5 linked regions of the Macaca fascicularis genome follow. The protein of the gene in region 4 interacts with the protein of the main gene of each other region in a pairwise test. Links are inferred from orthologs where the notes say so. Each region holds a gene or a part of one and is shown on either strand. Other genes may lie near its edges.

Evidence for each region.
Region 1: the proteins of PEG10 (region 4) and LDOC1 interact in binary tests that used the Homo sapiens proteins (3 or more experiments, as listed by UniProt). The two-hybrid records come from large-scale screens. The link is inferred for Macaca fascicularis from reciprocal best matches to the Homo sapiens genes PEG10 and LDOC1.
Region 2: the proteins of PEG10 (region 4) and retrotransposon Gag-like protein 8C interact in binary tests that used the Homo sapiens proteins (3 or more experiments, as listed by UniProt). The two-hybrid records come from large-scale screens. The link is inferred for Macaca fascicularis from reciprocal best matches to the Homo sapiens genes PEG10 and RTL8C.
Region 3: the proteins of PEG10 (region 4) and LNX2 interact in binary tests that used the Homo sapiens proteins (3 or more experiments, as listed by UniProt). The link is inferred for Macaca fascicularis from reciprocal best matches to the Homo sapiens genes PEG10 and LNX2.
Region 5: the proteins of PEG10 (region 4) and EXOSC5 interact in binary tests that used the Homo sapiens proteins (3 or more experiments, as listed by UniProt). The link is inferred for Macaca fascicularis from reciprocal best matches to the Homo sapiens genes PEG10 and EXOSC5.

Annotation. Positions count from the first base shown.
Region 1 is NC_088395.1:147,494,347-147,499,288, forward strand, and holds the start of LDOC1 (protein LDOC1), read left to right. Parts: upstream 1-2,029; 5' UTR 2,030-2,138; coding exon 2,139-2,579; 3' UTR 2,580-4,942. UniProt on the Homo sapiens protein: May have an important role in the development and/or progression of some cancers.
Region 2 is NC_088395.1:141,360,521-141,364,058, reverse strand, and holds retrotransposon Gag-like protein 8C, read right to left. Parts: upstream 1,847-3,538; 5' UTR 1,818-1,846; coding exon 1,476-1,817; coding exon of another isoform or gene 874-1,475; 3' UTR 658-873; downstream 1-657. Other genes in the region: CAAX box protein 1, read right to left, coding at 874-1,500.
Region 3 is NC_088391.1:7,534,235-7,538,383, forward strand, and holds part of LNX2 (ligand of Numb protein X 2), read right to left. Parts: intron 475-4,149; coding exon 297-474; intron 1-296.
Region 4 is NC_088377.1:126,682,791-126,686,939, reverse strand, and holds part of PEG10 (retrotransposon-derived protein PEG10), read left to right. Parts: intron 1-814; coding exon 815-2,015; coding exon of another isoform or gene 2,016-3,163; 3' UTR 3,164-4,149.
Region 5 is NC_088393.1:48,537,799-48,542,403, forward strand, and holds the start of EXOSC5 (exosome complex component RRP46), read right to left. Parts: upstream 2,986-4,605; 5' UTR 2,921-2,985; coding exon 2,773-2,920; intron 1-2,772. Other genes in the region: BCKDHA (2-oxoisovalerate dehydrogenase subunit alpha, mitochondrial), read left to right, coding at 3,418-3,525. UniProt on the Homo sapiens protein: Non-catalytic component of the RNA exosome complex which has 3'->5' exoribonuclease activity and participates in a multitude of cellular RNA processing and degradation events.

The sequences.
Region 1 (4,942 bases), on a different chromosome or scaffold from region 4:
TGGGATTACAGGCATGAGCCACCATGCCCAACCTTACACTTAACAATTTAAAGAGTATTATTTAACACTTTGTGCAGCCACAACTTCTAATTTTTATCTCAGCATCTGCACTCTGAGATTATATTACACGCCAAACATTAATGAAGCCTCTACTCTGGGCCAGAACTTATCTAGACATTAGGGATAGACCAGATAGCAAAAGCAGTGTTTCTTTGACTTATATATTCTAAAATGGAAGCAGATGATGAGCAAAGTCCTATATACACATATGACATGGTGGCTAGTAGCACAATAAATGTTATGTAGATAAATGAAGCAGAGTAAAGGGTTACAGATTGGTGGCAGAGAACAGGGTGCTCTGATAGGTCCAGTGGTCAGAAAAGTTCTCTCTGAAAGCAGTAGGAGGAGTCAGGCAGCCAACTGGGATGACATCCTTGCAAAGGAGAAGGGATAGAAGGTGCAAAGGCTATGAAGCCAGAACTGCTTGATGGGTGTGAGAATCAGCAAGGAAGACAGTGATGAGAGCACAGCAGAAAATGGGAAGAGGCACAGGATAGAAGGAGGGGCCTTGTAGGCCTTGGCTGCAACTTTGCTCTTTATTCTGAGGTGAAACTACTGGAGGATTTTGAGCAGGGGCGTGAAGGGATCTAACTGTTTTTGTTTGTTTGTTTGTTTGTTTTTGTTTTTTTTTTTTAGAGATGGAGTCTCGCTTGGTAACCAAGGCTGGAGGAGTGCGCTGGCGCTATCTCGGCTCACTGCCACCTCCGCCTCCCGGGTTCAAGCGATTCTCCTGCCTTAGCCTCCTGAGTAGCTGGAACTACAGGCACCTGCCACCACTCCCCGCTAATATTTTGTATTTTTAGTAGAGACAGGGTTTCACCCTGTTAGCCAGGATGATCTCGATCTCCTGACTCGTGATCCGCCCTCCTTGGCCACCCAAAGTGCTAGGATTACAGGCGTGAGCCACCGCGCCCGGCCCTAATTTTTGTTTTAAAGGATTCCTGTGGCTACTCTATGGAGAATATACTATAGGAAGAAAAGAGTGAAAGCTAAGTGATTAGTTGCAGCAGTCTGGGTGAGAAAGGCTGGGGATCAGGGTGGCAGTGGTAGAAATGACAAGTCATGACTGAATTGGCAATATATTTGAAAGCAGAGCCAACAATTCCTGTCGGCTCTAGGATCAGGGATCCGTTTAAAGTAGAAAAACAAAATTATTTAAAAACACAAACATCTTAACAGTTCATTTTTAAGTACAGAATAAAACCCAGTGGCCAAAGGCACTAACAGCAGGACAAGAAATAGAGAATCAAAGATATGTGGGATGCCTGCAATTGATTATTGGATGCTCATTTTGCAAAACTTCTTTATATCCTGCTACTTAGGTTTGTTTTTTTTTGTTTGTTTGTTTTAAGGGAGTATGCCGTATTATTCCCCTACTAAAGAAGTCACTGTTTAAATACTGCCTTTTTCATGAAAGGCAGGAACCCCTGAAGGTCTTCATGATCCTAAAAGGAAGTGTGAGTCCCACAGTGCAGCCAGCAGTGTCAATACTTCTCTGAGTGAGATTTAAACAAGAAAGAAAATGTGTTAATAAAACATCACGCCAAGAGAATCTAGTGGCCACAGACCCACGAAGGAACAACTGAGTTGTGAGAGTTGCCTAGGTAGAAGGGTGGCTAATCCTTTCAGTTTGAACAAATTTGCCTTCTCTGAGACCAAACTCAGCGCTCGCCAGGTCCTCTGCTAACGCAGGCCCCACAACCAGGAGCTAGGGGAGCCTACCCCAGCCTTTAACTGCCCGCCTAGAGACCTACCACAAGCCGGTGGTTCAGCGACCCAGTGCATCCTTTTCCTGGCCACGCCCTCTTTGTCTAAACCCTTCCCATCCCGGCCACGCCCCCACGCAGCCGCGGCCCCCAGTCTGGCCACGCCCCTCCCGCGCCGCGCCGGCGCACCATCCGTCCGAATGGCCTCGTGGGCGGAGCTTGCGTAGCCTCCCGGACCCCGGCGCGCACCGCCCCCCGCCCCCAGCCCCTGGCCATCGAGCGTCTCCGTGGACACGCACTTCCTGCGAGGCCTCCGTGCGCACCTTGGCCGAGCCGAACCGAGCCGAGCCCTGTCCTTCCAGGCTGTTCGCAATGGTGGATGAGCTGGTGCTGCTGCTGCACGCGCTCCTGATGCGGCACCGCGCCCTGACCATCGAGAACAGCCAGCTCATGGAACAGCTGCGGCTGCTGGTGTGCGAGAGGGCCAGCCTGCTGCGCCAGGTACGTCCGCCGAGCTGCCCGGTGCCCTTCCCCGAAACGTTTAATGGCGAGAGCTCCCGGCTCCCCGAGTTTATCGTGCAGACAGCGTCTTACATGCTCGTGAACGAGAACCGATTCTGCAACGACGCCATGAAGGTGGCATTCCTAATCAGTCTCCTCACCGGGGAAGCCGAGGAGTGGGTGGTGCCCTACATCGAGATGGATAGCCCCATCCTAGGTGATTACCGAGCCTTCCTCGATGAGATGAAACAGTGCTTTGGCTGGGATGACGACGAAGACGACGACGACGAGGACGAAGAGGATAATTACTAGGCCCTCGGGCCTCGGGGGGAGGGCCCTGCACGCCGTCACCCCCTCCCCGCAGCCCTCACCCCGCCAGGAGCCACTGCTCTCCCCCTTGCCCTCCGGTCCCCTTCCCTACCCGCGCCCGTCTGCTCTTTCTTCATTTCTCCGTAGTGCTTGTCTTTGTTCCAGGAATAGTGCTCCAGTTACCTGCTGCTGGGGTTGGGGCTGGAGCCTCACTCACTCGGAAGTGCTTGGAAGTGTCATCTACCCTGGCCATCCCGGGGATCCCTCCCCTGCTAATCTGAACTGTGTCCTGAACCCCAGCTATTGGCCAGGCCCCTGTTACAAACTGCGCAGACCACCCATAGCCCTGCTGCTGCCACCTGCCCTGCTGCCAGGCTTACATCTGCCCAGAGAACTATGCTGCCACTTCACATCCACTCACCACATCCCACCTACAGACTACCGCCTTTCGAGATCAGGACCAACCTGGAAAATGCCAGAGTTGGCTCTGCCTCTTCGGACATTGATTTGGACAGCTCACCAACCCCTGAAGAGGCCAATCATTCAGCCTGGTTAGTTTTCTACCTACTCCGAGTGTCCTCCCCTGCCATACCAGATTGCTGCAGGGGCGCGGTGTGCCTGACAGCCAAATTGTTGATATTTCTTTTTTCCTATGCACTGGTTTTACACAGCTGTCATTTTTCTTTCAAAATTGCAGCAGTCCCACAGATGTATGCATTTGGACAAATAGTACTAAAAACAAAACAAACAAGCACTCAGCCCAGCTCCTCAATACTACCTGGAAAAAGCATTGGCATTATTTTCAATAAATATCAAGCACTAAAAAACGAAATGACTGTCTTTTAATAGTTAAGTGCTATCACTGACCTCTAGAACTGTCACTGTGACTACCGTTATTCCCATGGAAATCAGGGAATACAACCAATCCTAGGAATCCCTGCTGTCAACTCCAGGCTGCTGGGGACAGCTACCTCAGGGCTTTGTCAGGGTTCTGATGCTTCCTTCACCAACGCATTTCTTAAAGCCCTGGCAAAGGGTGTGTTCTCTGGGTCCTCCAGGGTGGCATGGGTAAGGGTTGGCTGAGCAGATGGCAAAGAGGGCAGTATTAATAATTAGACCATAACAACAGGCATAAACCAGGACATATATATGTATTGCTCCTAATTCTCTGAGCTTTTGGATTCCTTAATATTGTGCCAGGGAAGTTCTGCCCCTTAATCCTTATTGCCTATATGCAGCTGTTGAGTTCAGGCTCCAGAGAGCCAACATAGTACATTGTCACTTTCAAACTCCAAATAGCCAACATGTCACTTACAGGTGCTCTAGCTAACATTAAGTCCCAGATCCTGGGCAAGTGCATCCATAAAGATATACCCTGATCTTAACAAACATTTCATCCTCCTTGGGCAGACATCCTTAGAATTTCCACTCATAGATGTGTCCCAGATTCCTCCCTATGGAAATTAGCAAGATGCTTGGTTATCTCTTAAATCAGACTTTGTACTGCTATCTGGGGGCTATGCTGAGATCTCTGGGCCTGGAGGGTTCAGAGCAGTGAAGGGGGTGGCTGCTGAGAAGAAACTGCATACCTGTGTGAGGCCATTGCCCCAGGTTAAGTCATTGAAATGTTTAATGCAGAGCAGCTTGGTTGGGGATTTGACAGGACTACCTCTTAGAAAGGTTTAGGAGGATGTGAGGGGTTCAGAGTTCTCATTTATATCTGTCCAGATGTCCTCCCTCATTGTACCATGTCTGGAGCCAACTTCACTTTATAACCTTTAATTAATTTAGATAACACATTTCCTTACTGTTTAAGGCCTTTTGAGGCAAGATATTTCATTTGTACTGGTAAACCTCAGTGTTGATTAAATGAGATATGGGGCTTCATATTAATCACCTGATAGGTGTGGATTATATGAGATCATACCCATGCAGCATTTAGAACTTTCCCTGCTACATGGTGAGCACTCAGTAAACCATGGGCTGTTACTCCTGGGCCTGGGGACAGAATTCTCAGGAAGCAAGTCTCTGGCTCTGAGCGTGGCTTTAGTAGGAAAATGTCAGCGTAAAGAGGAGCAGAGCAGGTTCAGCGATAATGGAAATGAGAGCATGATAAGACCCCATTTACTTTTTGAAGTCTTATATGAAGCAAGAAACAAAGCTGTTTACGTGGTGAACAGGCAAAGTTCAGGGTAGGAATTATATCTCACACCTAGGATAGCTGTTTCTGGAGGGTGGGGACAGGGGTGAGTATGACTTAATAAAAGAGGCCAAGGCTTGGGTGGAAATGAGATCTGGGGCTCTTCGGGGAGCTGCTGCCTCCAAATCTGAATCAAGGAGACACCTGGTTATTTAGAATTCACTGA
Region 2 (3,538 bases), on a different chromosome or scaffold from region 4:
TCTGTTGGGATATTGAGCTTTTCCCAGAGATAGATGGGGTGGCAGAGGCATGTTAGCACAGTAGATTTCAAAGATTCGCATGCAGAGATACGTTGAAGAGAATTTTTTTTTTTTCTGCCCATTAGGGAAGGTGGTAATTGTATTGTGTTTCAGGTCATTCATTAAACAAGTTTGTACCTAAATTAACTACAGTTCTGCATTCCTTTCTCCACCACCTACCCAATTAAAGCAATATAAATGTAAATGCTTTTTCTGAAGTATCTAAGCCATTTTGCTGGTTCCCTGATAATGCATTAAATAAAACTGTAAGAATTGTTCACCAACAAATGTGTGAGATGCATGGCTTGTAACCATTTGGGGTATATGCTTTCAGACAGTTTTTTGGAAAAGAGGGAAGAAAAAGCACCCTATCTGACTATTCCTTATCTTATCTTGGCCACAGTCAGATTAAGGTTCATTTCCTAAGGGGCACAAAACTTGACTTGTTTACAACATTAATCGTCTGGGATTAGTCACCGGTGGGATCTCCATTTGCAGGACACCACAGGACTCTGTGTCAACATCAACCATAGCGTGGCAGGACATATAGTTTTTGAACAAGATATGGACCCCATTTACAGAACCAGGGAGGGAAAAGTGCCATATTGACTGAGACCATTTCTTTTCAATAATGTCTGACATTTATTGAAAATAAGGAAAAGACTTTCTCCAGGTAGTGTATTAGAGCAGAGCAGAATGCAGGGGTTACTGTGTTGAACAAAAGGCACACATCAGAGAGACAGTTGCAAACTCAGAAAACTGGGTTATAGGCAAAACTAACTGGTCCACAAGAGAAAATGAGAGACTCGATTTGGCTGCCAGGCACACCTGGGTCTAGGCTGGAACACAAGAGGTTTCTGGGGGTGGGGAGGAAATAGGTCTCGCTGAAGGTGACAGATCCCTTGGGGGGCCAGCTGTCTGGATCACTGTCCAAGGACTGTGGCCAGCCCAGATACCTCCGAGGTGAGTCCAGATCACTAGGAGCAGCAGTCTGTCAGTGGGATGCGATGGATGGCGATGGCAGTGGCAGCGCAGGTCTGTGGGCAGAATGATGTAGTCGTCTGGCAGTCTGGTGGGGAGGAGGGGGCTTGGCAGCGGCGGCAGTGGGTGGTCTGTCCAGTGTGTAACAGGAGCCCAGCTTGCAGCTGGAGCGCAGGACAGCGTCCAAATGTGCATGGGAGGGGCTGGCTGGCTGGAAGGAGAGGGCGGCGGCTCGCTCCAGAGTGAGGCCCAGGGGCGGCAGCAGGAGCCTGGAACGCTATTCCTGGAACAAAGGCAAGCACTACGCGGGAGGGGACAGGAGCTCAGGGGACATCGCGGCGGCTCGAGGGGGAGGGAGGTGCGGAGGGAGGGCGCCTGTGGCGACCCTGGCGGCGGCCAGTAGCACAGCGGACCCTCCCCAGAGCACCCGCCCCCAGGCTCGAGGGTCTCCCGGCCTAAAAGTCCTCGTCCTCCTCCCATCCAAAGACCCGCTTCATCTCGGCCAGGAAGCCCCGGTAATCATTGAGGAGGGGGCTCTCCTTCTTGATGTAGGGGATCACCCACTGCAGGGCGGGCCCCGTGAGGCGGGTGATGAGGAACGTCACCTTCAGGGCGTCGCTGGAGAATGTGTTCTCGTCCACGAACATGTAGGAGCCCGTCTGCACGATGAACTCCGGGAGCCGGTCGGTATCGCCATCAAACGTCTCGGGAAAGGGAATCGGGTTCCTCCAGCGACGCGTCGCAGGTCGGATCGGCAAGGCCAGGAGGGCCTTTATCAGCTGCACCCGACCGTCCATCGCTGCTCTTCGCTTCGCTGGACGTCAATGGGCTCCACCCGGCTCTGCAGAGGTCAGTACCGAGGCGTCGCCGGAAATGCGTGTCCACGAAGGCCTGCCCAAGCTAGGGTGGGCGGGGCCACGAGCGGGGCTCCAGCCCTCTCATGGACTCCGCCCACAAGGCCGGGTGTTCCCTAGTACGCAGGCGCGTCGTGGGGAACACACTTGCGAAGAAGGGCCTAAAGCCCTCAAGGAGGCAGGGTCCTATCGGAGAGGCTGGGCTGAGGGTTCCTAAGGTGGCGGGACGGGGAGCAGGGGAGGAACCAGGGAGACCTGGTGGTGTACGGGGCGCGAGGAGCTCGCTCCAAGGGTATGTTAGGGGCCCTACCTAGTTCTGGTAGTTGAGGAGTCCTCCCGCTGCACTGGTCCCCACCTCTCATCAGCCCTTGGGTATGCATTCGGGGAGCCTTGACCCTGGACGCCACTAGTATGAGGTTCTGTGAACACATTTTCCTGCTCCTTCTTGCGTCTCTCAACCAGATTATTGGCTCCCTACTTTGCAACATTAATAGAGAAGCCCCACATATTAGCAAATATAATCCAGAGCAGCATGTTCAAAGAGTAATGCACCACGCTTGAGGGATGGATACTCCATTCTCCATGATGTGATTATTAGGACCTAGTATTTGATAGCACAACAGGATGACTACAGTCAAAATAATTTAATTGTACATTTAAAAATAACTGAAAGAGTGTAATTGGATTGTTTGTAGCACAAAGGATAAGTGCTTGAGGGGATGGATGCCCCATTTACCATTATGTGATTATTATGCATTGTATACCTATATTAAAGCATTTCACGTACCCCATAAATACATATACCTATCATGTACCCACAAAAATTAGAAAATAAATTTTTAAAAAGAATAATATACCACAAGCAGTTAATGTAAGGAGAGTTAAATATTAAGAAATCTCTTAATTTGTTATAAAAGCTGCCCTCAGTTCTCTGTCACGTTGCCCTGTCTCTAGGCAGTTCACTACACTGCAGCTTGTTTCTTCATGGAACAAAGGGAGAATGTTTCTCCTTGAAAGATGGAGTCATGTATAAACTAACATAATCATGGGAGTTCATCACCTTTGCCACATTCTCTTGGTTAGAAGCAAGCCATAGTCCCCACCTACACTGAAAGGTATGACCAGGATATTGGGATGTTGGGGGCCACCTTAGAATCTGTCTGCCATAGCATGGATATACAAATTTGGTGATCCATTCATTTGTTGGAAGATATTTGGCACATTTACAGGTTTTGGAAATTACAAATGAATCAGCTATAAGCATTTACGTACAGATTTTTGTGTGAGCACAGATTTTCATTTTTCTAGAGCAAATTCCTAGAGCAAAGATTTATGTCATATGGTTCCCATTAAAAACTCTCATCAAACTTAAAAGGGAACTCCTAAATCTGATGAAGAGCATCTACAAAAATCCTACAGCTGTCATACTGGAAGGTGAAAGCCTGAATGCTTTTCACTCTTAGATCAAGAACAAGACACATAGAGGGAAACAACACACACTGAGGCCTATTAGAGGGTTGAGGGTGGGAGGAGGCAGAGGATCAGGAAAAATAACTAACGGCTAATAAGCTTAATACCTGGGTGATGAAATAATCTGTACAACAAACTCCTATGACACAAGTTTAACTATGTTAACAACCTGCACTTGTACCCCTGAACTTGAA
Region 3 (4,149 bases), on a different chromosome or scaffold from region 4:
TGGAGTATCTAAGTCTGTTTTAATGTTAGAGGATCTTTTCCTAAGATAAAATAATCTAACAGTCTGAGTAACTGTTAGCAAATTCTGGTACTGTCGTCAAGGTTCAGCAACTTTCCTTTATATAAGGCATTTTTCTAATCTCATAGAATGACTTTATGCTTCCATATGCAAGGGACAGTTTAAAGGATTTTAAAAAGTCATGTTTAATAGATACTTTGTAGATGCTCTTTATTTTTTTAAATGTGCATTTAATTCAGAAATAAGATGTGGTAACATTTTTAAAGATCCCATCTTACCTCTCTTTATTCTGCCATCTCGTGCAAGGCAGCCATGGGGCGGCACACTGGTCACAAAGATGGGCAGCTCACCACTCTTACTTCCCCTGCCCCCAGCAACGGTCATGCCAAGGGACTCATGTGGTTCCTTCTTTACAGTAATGTGTTTTTCTTGGCATGTAACACACTGAGTAAGATCCTAAAACACACAAGAAAAAAATCATTGGATAATGAATAAAATATAGTTGAAGTGAAGTTATTACTTCAAACTAAGGTAATAACATACATGGCATTTATACAGTAATTATTTTTTATTCCTTAATTGCAAATGAAAGTAATATACAGTTCTTAATAAGTCTACTGTGGATCAATGTCAAATTTTGGACTATGTTATTTTCATATGACTGTTTATGTACCTGAAAAAACTCAGGACTGCTGAAATCTGGCAGTCAAAGTAAAATAAGCACATCATTTGTATAATTTGTTTGAGCTTCATCTTTGATCAGCTGCACTAAAGTAAATGATGCTTTTGAGTTTTAAGATTCTGAAGACAAATCAATTAATTTTACTTCCATCTTTCTCCCATTTCTTTGAAAGACAAGTTGACAGAGTAGCACGAAAGTACAGATTTTGGCAACTGCCAGAAAAAGGCCATCGACCTATCTCCTGATTCTCACTGACTAGGACTATGAGTGCTCAAATCATGAAGAAGTTGCAAATCTACCTCCAAAATCTTCATGAAAAGCTAAAGGGATACAAAATGACTGAATTTTTGAAAAAGTTAATGACAGGGAAATAAATTCCCAACAAATTAATATTCTTCCATTTTTACTGACATTTGTTACTACTGTTTATTATTGAGATGCTCCTGGAAGAAAAAGAATTTAAAACATCACTTTTCTTTTGAATTAGAACTCAGTAAAAAATAAGATGTACATACGCAATATTAAAATAATAATTAACATTTGGGCTTAGCCTGTGAAAAGCTAATGCCTTTACATGCATTATTTCCTTTAAACTTCACAAAAGTCCTGAAATTATATATTATTATTGACCCCATTTGACAAAAGATGAAACAAACTTAGGGAGGTCATGTAACTTGTCCTGAATCATGTTAATATAGGCAACCGTCCTGGGATTCAAAACTTACGTGTGTTAAAAGTATGTACGATATATATTAATATAAATAGTATTTTGTATATGTCTATATAGTGTGATAGACTACATGTACATATTGTATATATGCACCCACACAAGAACTATCCCATTAAGTGTACAGTGCAAGATAATGTCTCAGAAGGTTTTAACACTTATTAACTGTTAAGAGAATGTTGTAATTAACACCGTTAATATAAAAAATAAAAAATACAAATTATATTTACAGAATTATAACATTTCCTTAAGTCACATTAGTTTAGAGAATTGACATGTATTTAACTGTTAATAACGGCGTTTATCAAATCTCTAAATCAGGGCCTGGAATTCTAGGCCTATCTACCCTTCTCCAGATGTGAAATTATACTCTTGAAATTTTACCAAAGGAGCTATCTGTAATAGCAGCACAGTATTCCCAGAAAATGTTATGACCAAGGAGAAAATTTGTAAACATTTTAAGGCAGTCTCCTATCCAAAGGTATGACATTTTTGTCAGCAGCCTTCAAAATTAGACAAACACAACTTTATTCTGAAGACAACTCAGGTAAACTCAACCTTGAGTATATTTATTTAAGCAGGTTCAGTTCTTACATATTTAAGCAGTTAAGTGTGGGTGTTTTATTACTCTAAGTGTCTGAAATGTATGCAATTTTTACCCAGGAACCAAACCAAACTTCAAAGATTATACTCAGTATGCTTCAAGGAACTTCCTAAAACTACATGAATGTTTATCAAAACAGCTACTGGGAAGCTTTGTAGTAGACTAACATATATACTATATTTTTTTCAGAATGCTTATAATTGTCTGAAAAGATTGTTCTGGTGAATTTGCATGTTTTCTCCCTAGGAGACTTTTACTATGCTGTATCAGGATTTGACATAACAAGCAGAGCATGTTAGTAGTAAATAGCTAAATAAACACATTCCATTTCAAGTGGTTTTTCTAACCAGCCAGGTTTGCAGAGTGCCTAGAACAGATTAAGTTCAGCATCACTATTTAGAACATCGTCATATAAAATTAAAGAGAATCAGAATTAGCCTAGTTATAACAGAAAAATACATGTGCCCAAAACAAACTGAATTAAGGACAGTTTGCTATATGAATACTGGAATTATTAATTACAGTTTTTCAAACTCTCTTAAAACTGTAATATTGTTATATATACCCATATCTCAAATTATAAAATTCAATAACATAAAAGATTCAATTACCAACTTGTACCTCATATTATAGTTTTATATGTACACAAAACTTATAAAACAAGGACTAGGTATATGAAACAATGCCTATTCAAAAATTCCTATTTAAAACAATTACTCCATTTCCACAGTCATTATTTAAAGGCAAATTACAGGTTTCCTTCATACATTTTGAGTTTTGCTCAGAAATGAGAATGAAGTCTGTGATTATAATTTCTTTTAAGTATTAACTAAACCAAAGACCAGTGACAAGTCTGTATAGAACTTAAGCTCAGAAAACCATATAAACCTGGCCGGATGCGGTGGCTCAAGCCTGTAATCCCAGCACTTTGGGAGGCTGAGACGGGTAGATCACAAGGTCAGGAGATCGAGACCATCCTGGCTAACATGGTGAAACCCGTCTCTACTAAAAAATACAAAAAACTAGCCGGGCGTGGTGGCGGGCGCCTGTAGTCCCAGCTACTTGGAGGCTGAGCCAGGAGAATGGCGTAAACCCGGGAGGCAGACCTTGCAGTGAGGTGAGATCCGGCCACTGCACTCCAGCCTGGGTGACAGAGCGAGACTCCGTCTCAAAAAAAAAAAAAAAAAAAAAAAGAAAACCATATAAACCTGATGGGCCAAAAATACTGTCTTTAAGCTATGCTTTCTTAGGGTACCAGAGACGGACTCCAAAGCTAATTACTCACTCAAATGTTGTACTTTCAGGTGACAATAAAAAAGTTTTTGCTTAGTAAAGCAATTTAATTTTACTTAAGGAGAATTACTCTGGTAGCTCACATTTAGCTTTTATTTTCACATAATTGGGTAAGCATCATTCGCATCATTGTTTTAAAACTCCTGGCCCACTGGAAGTTAAGAGTTCAAATGAAGGATCAAATGAAGTAAATTATACCAAGAATGCTAAAGTACCATCCTTTTAGATTTCTGGATTGAAAGTGAGGTAGCATCAAAATTCTCAGCTGACGTAGAATACATTATAAAACCAGGGAAATACTGATTCTGAAGAAACAGTAACAAAGCTTAACATATGGGAATTTTAAAAGATTTAGGGTAATATTCCTCTAAGCTTTAACATAAAAAGAAATATGCTATATATGTACCTATCAAATATGTAAATATGCTATATATGTACCTATCAAAATTCATGATTCATATGTTTAATCTTCACGTATCTAATTCTGGTTCTGTAGGCAACAGGCTCAATTACCAAGTATACATTTATCAATCTTGTCTTCATTATGTTTTTTCAATAACTAACTCTTACATTTAAATAAGCAACCCAAGATAAATTCCACTTTCAAGTAGGATTAAACAAGTAGAAGATTTCATGCTTCTCGTTTATCACCTGGCAAAGGAAACTTCCCCTCCAAGCAACTATCTCTAGTTCTAAGGAACAACGCAGTCACTCTCCAAGGTAGCAAAACATATACATTTCACATTCCAAACAACTATATTTTTCAACAGAATAACAACCCTCATTTGAATCTTTTTTTAAAAAACTACTTTATTGAGGTATGAC
Region 4 (4,149 bases):
AGTTTGAGGTATACTATTATTGGGCTTCTTTGAATGCCCCATTTTATAGCTTTTCCTAGGAGGCATCAATTAGTATTTCTTGAATGACTGCATAAATGACAAGGGAAACTGACATACACATATTGCTGCTTAGTGCCATTTCTGTCCCACACAGAATTTTCTTTGGGGATTTAAATTATGGTCAGAAAAGTAATTTAGGCAGTCCTGTAGTTTTTGTGGTGGTGGTTGTTTGATTTGATAACCAGTGACCTTCTCTGTGGCAGTGAAACAGGGTTGTGACAGTTGGCCACAGTACCCTCCTCCCACCCACAGGGCTGATGAATACATGCATTGTGATTTTAATACTCCCCTCTTTTTTAATTAGCTTCTATTAGTTGTAGTATTAACTATTTTTGGCCTAGCTTCTTTAGTAAGAAAAGTTATTATTTTGGCTTTAATTTGCATAATTGATTTGGTATCTATGTTTGCCTTGAAGTTTCTTCCTCTGTTTCAATACAAAACTACTTGTTTAGAGGGTTTCAACATTCTTTTATAGTTTATAAAGGTAAGCATGCTGTTGATGATGTATTGTTGAATCATAATGAACAGGTGGCCTTTGAGGAAGACAAGGTCATTTGAACATCAAAAAGTAGTTTCCTTTTTGTTATCTATGGTACTGATTGATACTTTTCTCTTGAAAGTTTGTTTTCTTTGTTCGCTAATTATTAAAGTAAGTGCATAGAGCAAGGGATAATTTAAACACTAAATCCTTTGTGTCTGCATTTTGCTGCTTTGAATCTATAAGTTGGATTTATACATTTATCTTTATTTACAGAAATAAGCGGATTTTGAAAACAAAAAAAAGAAGGAGTGGAAGAGGGGGCCAGGATCCAGGCCTCCATCCCCACAGAAGTGAAGCTACAGCTGGGAGGTCTCCTCCCACCCCAACCGTCACCCTGGGTCCCGACTGCCCACCTCCTCCCCCTCCCCCTCCCCCCAACAACAACAACAACAACAACTCCAAGCACACCGGCCATAAGAGCGCGTGTGTCCCCAACATGACCGAACGAAGAAGGGATGAGCTCTCTGAAGAGATCAACAACCTAAGAGAGAAGGTCATTAAGCAGTCCGAGGAGAACAGCAACCTGCAGAACCAGGTGCAGAAGCTCACAGAGGAGAACACCACCCTTCGAGAGCAAGTGGAACCCACCCCTGAGGATGATGATGATGACATCGAGCTCCGCGGTGCTGCAGCAGCTGCTGCCCCACCCCCTCCAATAGAGGAAGAGTGCCCAGAAGACCTTCCAGAGAAGTTCGATGGCAACCCAGACATGCTGGCTCCTTTCATGGCCCAGTGCCAGATCTTCATGGAAAAGAGCACCAGAGATTTCTCAGTTGATCGTGTCCGTGTCTGTTTCGTGACAAGCATGATGACCGGCCGTGCTGCCCGCTGGGCCTCAGCAAAGCTGGAGCGCTCCCACTACCTGATGCACAACTACCCAGCTTTCATGATGGAAATGAAGCATGTCTTTGAAGACCCTCAGAGGCGAGAGGCTGCCAAACGCAAGATCAGACGCCTGCGCCAAGGCATGGGGTCTGTCATCGACTATTCCAATGCTTTCCAGATGATTGCCCAGGACCTGGATTGGAACGAGCCTGCGCTGATTGACCAGTACCACGAGGGCCTCAGCGACCACATTCAGGAGGAGCTCTCCCACCTCGAGGTCGCCAAGTCGCTGTCTGCTCTGATTGGGCAGTGCATTCACATTGAGAGAAGGCTGGCCAGGGCTGCTGCAGCTCGCAAGCCACGCTCACCACCCCGGGCGCTGGTGTTGCCTCACGTTGCAAGCCACCACCAGGTAGATCCAACCGAGCCGGTGGGAGGTGCCCGCATGCGCCTGACCCAGGAGGAAAAAGAAAGACGCAGAAAGCTGAACCTGTGCCTCTACTGTGGAACAGGAGGTCACTACGCTGACAACTGTCCTGCCAAGGCCTCGAAGTCTTCGCCGGCGGGAAACTCCCCGGCCCCGCTGTAGAGGGACCTTCAGCGACCGGGCCAGAAATAATAAGGTCCCCACAAGATGACGCCTCATCTCCACACTTGCAAGTGATGCTCCAGATTCATCTTCCGGGCAGACACACCCTGTTCGTCCGAGCCATGATCGATTCTGGTGCTTCTGGCAACTTCATTGATCACGAATACGTTGCTCAAAATGGAATTCCTCTAAGAATCAAGGACTGGCCAATACTTGTGGAAGCAATTGATGGGCGCCCCATAGCATCGGGCCCAGTTGTCCACGAAACTCACGACCTGATAGTTGACCTGGGAGATCACCGTGAAGTGCTGTCATTTGATGTGACTCAGTCTCCATTCTTCCCTGTCGTCCTAGGGGTTCGCTGGCTGAGCACACATGATCCCAACATCACATGGAGCACTCGATCTATTGTCTTTGATTCTGAATACTGCCGCTACCACTGCCGGATGTATTCTCCAATACCACCATCGCTCCCACCGCCAGCACAACAACCGCCACTCTATTATCCAGTAGATGGATACAGAGTTTACCAACCAGTGAGATATTACTATGTCCAGAATGTGTACACTCCAGTAGATGAGCACGTCTACCCAGATCACCGCCTGGTTGACCCTCACATAGAAATGATACCTGGAGCACACAGTATTCCCAGCGGACATGTGTACTCACTGTCTGAACCTGAAATGGCAGCTCTTCGAGATTTTGTGGCAAGAAATGTGAAAGATGGGCTGATTACTCCAACGATCGCACCTAATGGAGCCCAAGTTCTCCAGGTGAAGAGGGGGTGGAAACTGCAAGTTTCTTACGATTGCCGAGCTCCAAACAATTTTACTATCCAGAATCAGTATCCTCGCCTATCTATTCCAAATTTAGAAGACCAAGCGCACCTGGCAACGTACACTGAATTCGTACCTCAAATACCTGGATACCAAACGTACCCCACATATGCCGCATACCCGACCTACCCAGTAGGATTCGCCTGGTACCCAGTGGGAAGAGACGGACAAGGAAGATCACTATATGTACCTGTTATGATCACTTGGAATCCACACTGGTACCGCCAGCCTCCGGTACCACAGTACCCGCCGCCACAGCCGCCGCCTCCACCACCGCCGCCGCCGCCGCCTCCATCTTACAGTACCCTGTAAATACTTGTCATGTCCTTCAGGATCTCTGCCCTCAAAATTTATTCCTGTTCAGCTTCTCAATCAGTGACTGTGTGCTAAGTTTTAGGCTACTGTATCTTCAGGCCACCTGAGGCACATCCTCTCTGAAACGGCTGTAGAAGGTCAGGGCCACCCTGGACTGGCACACATCCTAAAGCACCAAAAGACCTTCAACATTTTCTGAGAGCAACAGAGTATTTGCCAATAAATTAGCTCTCATTTTTCCACCTTGACTGCCAATCTAACTAAAATAATTAGTAAGTTTACTTTCCAGCCAGTCCTGGAAGTCTGGGTTTTACCTGCCAAAACCTCTGTCACCATCTAAATTATAGGCTGCCAAATTTGTTCTTTAACATTTACAGAGAAGCTGATACAAATGCAGGAAATGCTGATTTCTTTATGGAGGGGGAGACAAAGAGGAGGAGGAGGACATGACTTTTCTTGCAGTTTCGGTACCCTCTTTAAATCACTGGAGGACCGAGGCCTTATTAAGGAAGCCAAAATTATCGGTGCAGTATGGAAAGGCTTCCGTGATCCTCTCGCTGCACCCTTAGAAACTTCACCGTCTTCAAACTCCATTTCTGTGGTTCTGTTAATTCTCAAGGAGCAGCAACTTGACTGGTTCTCCCAGGAGCAGGCAAAACCCTTGTAACATGAAACATCTCAGGCTTGAAAAGAAAGTGCTCTCTCAGATGGACTCTTGCATGTTAAGAGTGTGCCTTCACATCGTGGTGCAAATCACATGTACCCAGGACTCCGGCTTTGACATAACACCTTACCATCATCATGCCATAATGGCGTCCACGAAGCATTAAACCTGGTAACCAGAGATTACTGGTGGCTCCAGGGGTGTTAGATGTTCATGAAATGTGACCACATCTCAATTACCTTCGAGGGCTAAAGAATAGCAGATCAAAAGGACTCCAAAATCCCGTACCCAACTCTTAAAAGATTTGTCCTGGTACTTC
Region 5 (4,605 bases), on a different chromosome or scaffold from region 4:
AAAAAAAACCAAAACATTTGAGGCCAGACATGGTGCCTCACACCTGTAATCCCAGCACTCTGGAGGCCCAGGTGGGAGGACTGCTCGAGGCCAGGAGTTTGAGACCTGCCTGAGCAACATAGCAAGACTCCTGTCTCTATTTTCTTTTTTGAGACAAAGTTTCCCTCTGTCACCCAGGAGGCTGGAGTGCAGTTGTGCAATCTCAGCTCACTGCAACCTCCGCCTCCCAGGCTCAAGTGATTCTCGTGCCTCAGCCTCCAGAGTAGCTGAGATTATAGGTGCGTGCCACCTCGTCCGACTAATTTTTGTATTTTTAGTAGAGACGGGTTTTCACCATGTTGGCTAGGCTGGTCTCAGAACTCCTGACCTCGACTGGGCGAGGTGGCTCACGCCTGTAATCCCAGCAATTTGGGAGGCCGAGGCGGGTGGATCACGAGGTCAGGAGTTCAAGATCAGTCTGGCCAACATGGTGAAACCCCGTCTCTACTAAAAACTACAAAAATTAGCTGGGCGTGGGAGCACACGCCTGTGGTCCTGGCTACTCGGGAGGCTGAGGCAGAAGAATCGCTGGAACCTGGGAGGTGGAGGTTGCAGTGAGCCACGATCGCTTCACTGCACTCTAGCCTGGGTGACAGGGCGAGACTCTGTGTCAAAAAAAAAAAAAGAATTACTGACCTCAGGTGATCTACCCTCATCGGCCTCCCAAGGTGCTTGGATTACCGGTGTGAGCAACCCATGTGAGCAACTGCGCCCGGCCCCTTCTTAATTCTTAGGTTCGAAGAAACTTGAGGTATCTCAATTCAGCATAAGTGCTAAGCCTGAGGGAGGGTCCGGGAAGGTCCCTGGTTAAGGCGGTATTTCCTGGGATGCCCAATTTGCCCTTACACGGAAGGTGTGCTTAGTTCCAGGAAAAACTGCCCTGAGGACTGGAGAAACCAAAATAGAACTCGCCTCTGGCTCCAGATGAACTGCCTGTGTTTCACCTGAGCACAAGAGTCCCTCCCCTCTCACCTTCTTCAAGACGTGGCTCCAGCAATTCTCTCCCCTGTTGACCCCACAACCATCTTCAATTCCTGCCCCACTTATCTGATCCTCTTACAGCAAAACTCCTGAACAGCTGTCTATTCTTCCTTTCCTGTGACCCCACCACTCCACTGCGGCAGCTCAACATCGTCACCACTGACCTCCAAATGATCAACCCTCCATTGACCCGGCTGTCAGTAAGGCCGAAACAGCTGTCAGCCCTCACATCTCAGACACGCTCTTCTCTTGGCCCCAGGTCACCACCCTCTCCCGGTTTCCCCCTAAGTCTCTGGGCGTTCCTTCTGAGTCTCCTTTAGCTTGCTTGTCACAAGTCCCTGACTGCTCAAGTTGGAAGGCCTAGGGCTTGGTCCTGGGACCTCTTTTCCATCTACACTGACTTCGTTCAGTCAATAGGCTGAAATACCATATATACAGCCAGAGAGTTCCAAATTGCCTATGTCCAGCTTGGGTCTCTCTCCTGATTTCCAGACTTGTACAGATCTGGGCAGAAACCTTAGTTATGCCTGACTCTTTTTCCTCGCACTCAAACCAAACTATAGGTAAGTTTTGTCCGTTTTACTTTCAAACTACATCCAGAATCTCATCACCTCCACTACTCCTGTTCTGGCTGGAGCCACCATCACCTCCCTGTTTTCCCCCATACTCCCCACAATCAACACAGCAGCCAGATTTTGTTAAAATGTATTGGGGCTGGGCGTGGTGGCTGGTACCTATATGAGCACTTTGGGAGGAGGACTGCTTGAGTCCAGGAGTTCAAGACCAACCTGGGCAACATCGTGAGACCCTGTCTCAAAATTTTTTTTTTTTTTTTTGAGACAGAATCTTGTTTTGTCGTGCACACTGGAGTACAATGGCACAATCTTGGCTCACTGCAACTTCTGCCTCCTGGGTTCAAGAGATTCTCCTGCCTCAGCCTCCCCAGTAGCTGGGATTACAGGCGCCCACCACCATGCCTGGCTAATTTTTGTACTTTTAGTAGAGTCGGGGTTTCGCCATGTTGGCCAGGCTGGTCTCGAACTCCTGACCTCAGGTGATCCACCCGCCTTGGCCTCCCAAAGTGTGGGGATTACAGGCGTGAGCCACTGTGCCCAGCCTCCTGTCTCAAACGTTAAAGAGAAATATTCTTGGAGTTAATCTGGTTCTGAGAGTTATTTAGCTAGGGGAAGGGGATATTTGCCCTATAGGTAAGACTTGCCCTAATCTTAGGGATATTTACTCCTGTGGAGAGATGCAGTGAGGTAGCGGTGGGGATGTATTTTTCAACCCAGGGCAGTGACATTATCTTCAATTTGAGGAGTATTTACGTGGGTGAAAGATCCGCCACAGTCCAGAGTATGCAAATTGACAGGTTTGCGTCAGTCCGGGATGCAAGGACCTAGCGGGCGTGTGTGTGGGGCGGGCGGGGGCGGGGGTGAGGAGGAGGAACCTAGTTAAGGGCGATATTTACCCTGGTGAGGTGATTTTCCCTATTCTGAAATATCAATTCTTGCGGGGACGGTCTGCCCCGCCTGTCATTCTCAGACATATTTACAAAGATGGAGCTATCTTCTCCTTTCTAGTCGTGAGGGAGAGATGTATGTATCCCTGCGTATGTAGTAGTATTCAATCGGACAAGAAATCATGTATCAACGCAGGAGTGACATTTACCAGCTGGTATCATGGGGAGATGGGCACTCCGTTGCACGGTACATGGTAGTCCCTCTCCAAAAGACCTGGGTAAGTTCTTACCTTGCAGGAAGGAAGCAGAGCCATCTGGCCGCGACAGCAGGTTCTGTTCGCAGGCAAAGTGCCGGAGGCTGCAGCCGGGACCCCGAGGGCTGCACCCTGTTCCAATTTCAGCGCGGATTTTGGCGTCAGTATGCATCTCCTCCTCCATCGCGCCGACCCCACGTGCGGCTGCGATTATCACTTCCGCCCGGCAGCGCGCGCTGCGAACACTCTGCGTAACCATTGCGCACGCGCTGGGCTCGGCCGTCAGTCCTGGCGTCCGCACGTGGCTTAGCGTTTACCAACAATCTGGCTCCGCCCAGTCCCACCTCCTAACTCTGGCAACGCCATTGGACAGTTGAGAACAGGAGGCAGGCCTTGGCAGTGACCTGTTTTACTCTGGGCCCCCGGGCCCTAAATCCCTGAGGCCGTGGTCAGGTTGCCCTCTTCTTTGCCTGTTACAGGAGTAACTACAATGAGGCGACTGGGGAAAATTTTGGGTAGATAGGTTTTCTTCTCCAAATCTCTGTGCATTCTATCTACAACAGAATGGGAAGAAGGTGATTTTCTTGTCAGATGGTGCTGGAGTTTGTGTCAGGCACATAAAGGGGCAGCCCCGAATCTAGCCTACGTGAGTGCCCTACCGCTGAGTGGTTGCTAGCCAAGATGGCGGTAGCGATCGCTGCAGCGAGGGTCTGGCGGCCAAACCGAGGCCTGAGCCAGGCTGCCCTCTTGCTGCTGTGGCGGCCTGGGGCTCGGGGATTGGCTAGATCTGTGAGTACCTGGGCCCCAGGGGGTTTTCCCAAAGGGGATTAGGGATGTAAAGGCTATCTTCAGAGTGTGGGGTCCCTGAAGGATATGAAGGAAGGGCTGTCACAGAAGGGAAAAAGTGGGAGACCCCTTGGAGAAGACACCGAAGGGAAGATCTGCCACTTCCTTAGAAGAAAAGAACTTCCACTTCTTCAGGAGAGGACAAAACCCGTTTGCAACTTCTTTGTGGGCCCTGAGGGAGGGAGACGACTTGAAGAGAGGGATGGGAGTTCCTTATTTATTTATTTAGTTAGTTTTTGAGGCGGAGTCTGGAGTGCAGTGGCCGGATCTCAGCTCACTGCAAGCTCTGCCTCCCGGATTCACGCCGTTCTCCTGCCTCAGCCTCCCGAGTAGCTGGGACTACAGGCGCCCGCCGCCACCCCCGGCTAATTTTTTTTTTTTTTTTTGCATTTTTAGTAGAGACGGGGTTTCACTGTGTTAGCCAGGATGGTCTCGATCTCCTGACCTCGTGATCCGCCCACCTCGGCCTCCCAAAGTGCTGGAATTACAGGCGTGAGCCAGCGCGCCCGGCCGGGGGTTCCTTATTAACTGCCACTCGTATTCAGGGGAGGTTCCTTGGAGGGACAGGGGAAGACCGCGAGACCTTTTCCCTCAGGCTTTGGAGAATGAAACTGACTTTATAAAGGAGAGACTTTCTTCTGGGCAAAGATCCCTCTTCAAGAAGAAGAAAGAAGAGAGCAAGTCCCCTTATCGCAGGCTGCATAGGGCCTTGTATTTCTTTGCTCCTTTGCCACAATTCTGATTTTAAAATGAATTGTGTAAAAATTTTGTTTGGTTCCTGTGTCTCCTGATCGAATATCAAGACAGGGAACTCGTGTGTTCTGGACACTGTACAGAGGAGATGATTAATATTTGTTGAGTTAATGAGGGGAAAAACGGAGGGACAGAGGTACAGATAGGGCACTTTGCCCACATTTCTTAGAAACACTTGAGAAGGCTTTGTTTCTTGTCAAAAGGGTCACAATCCCTTCAGGTGGATGCTGTCAAAATTACACTGCAAAAAACCTGGGTGGAAGCCTCTCT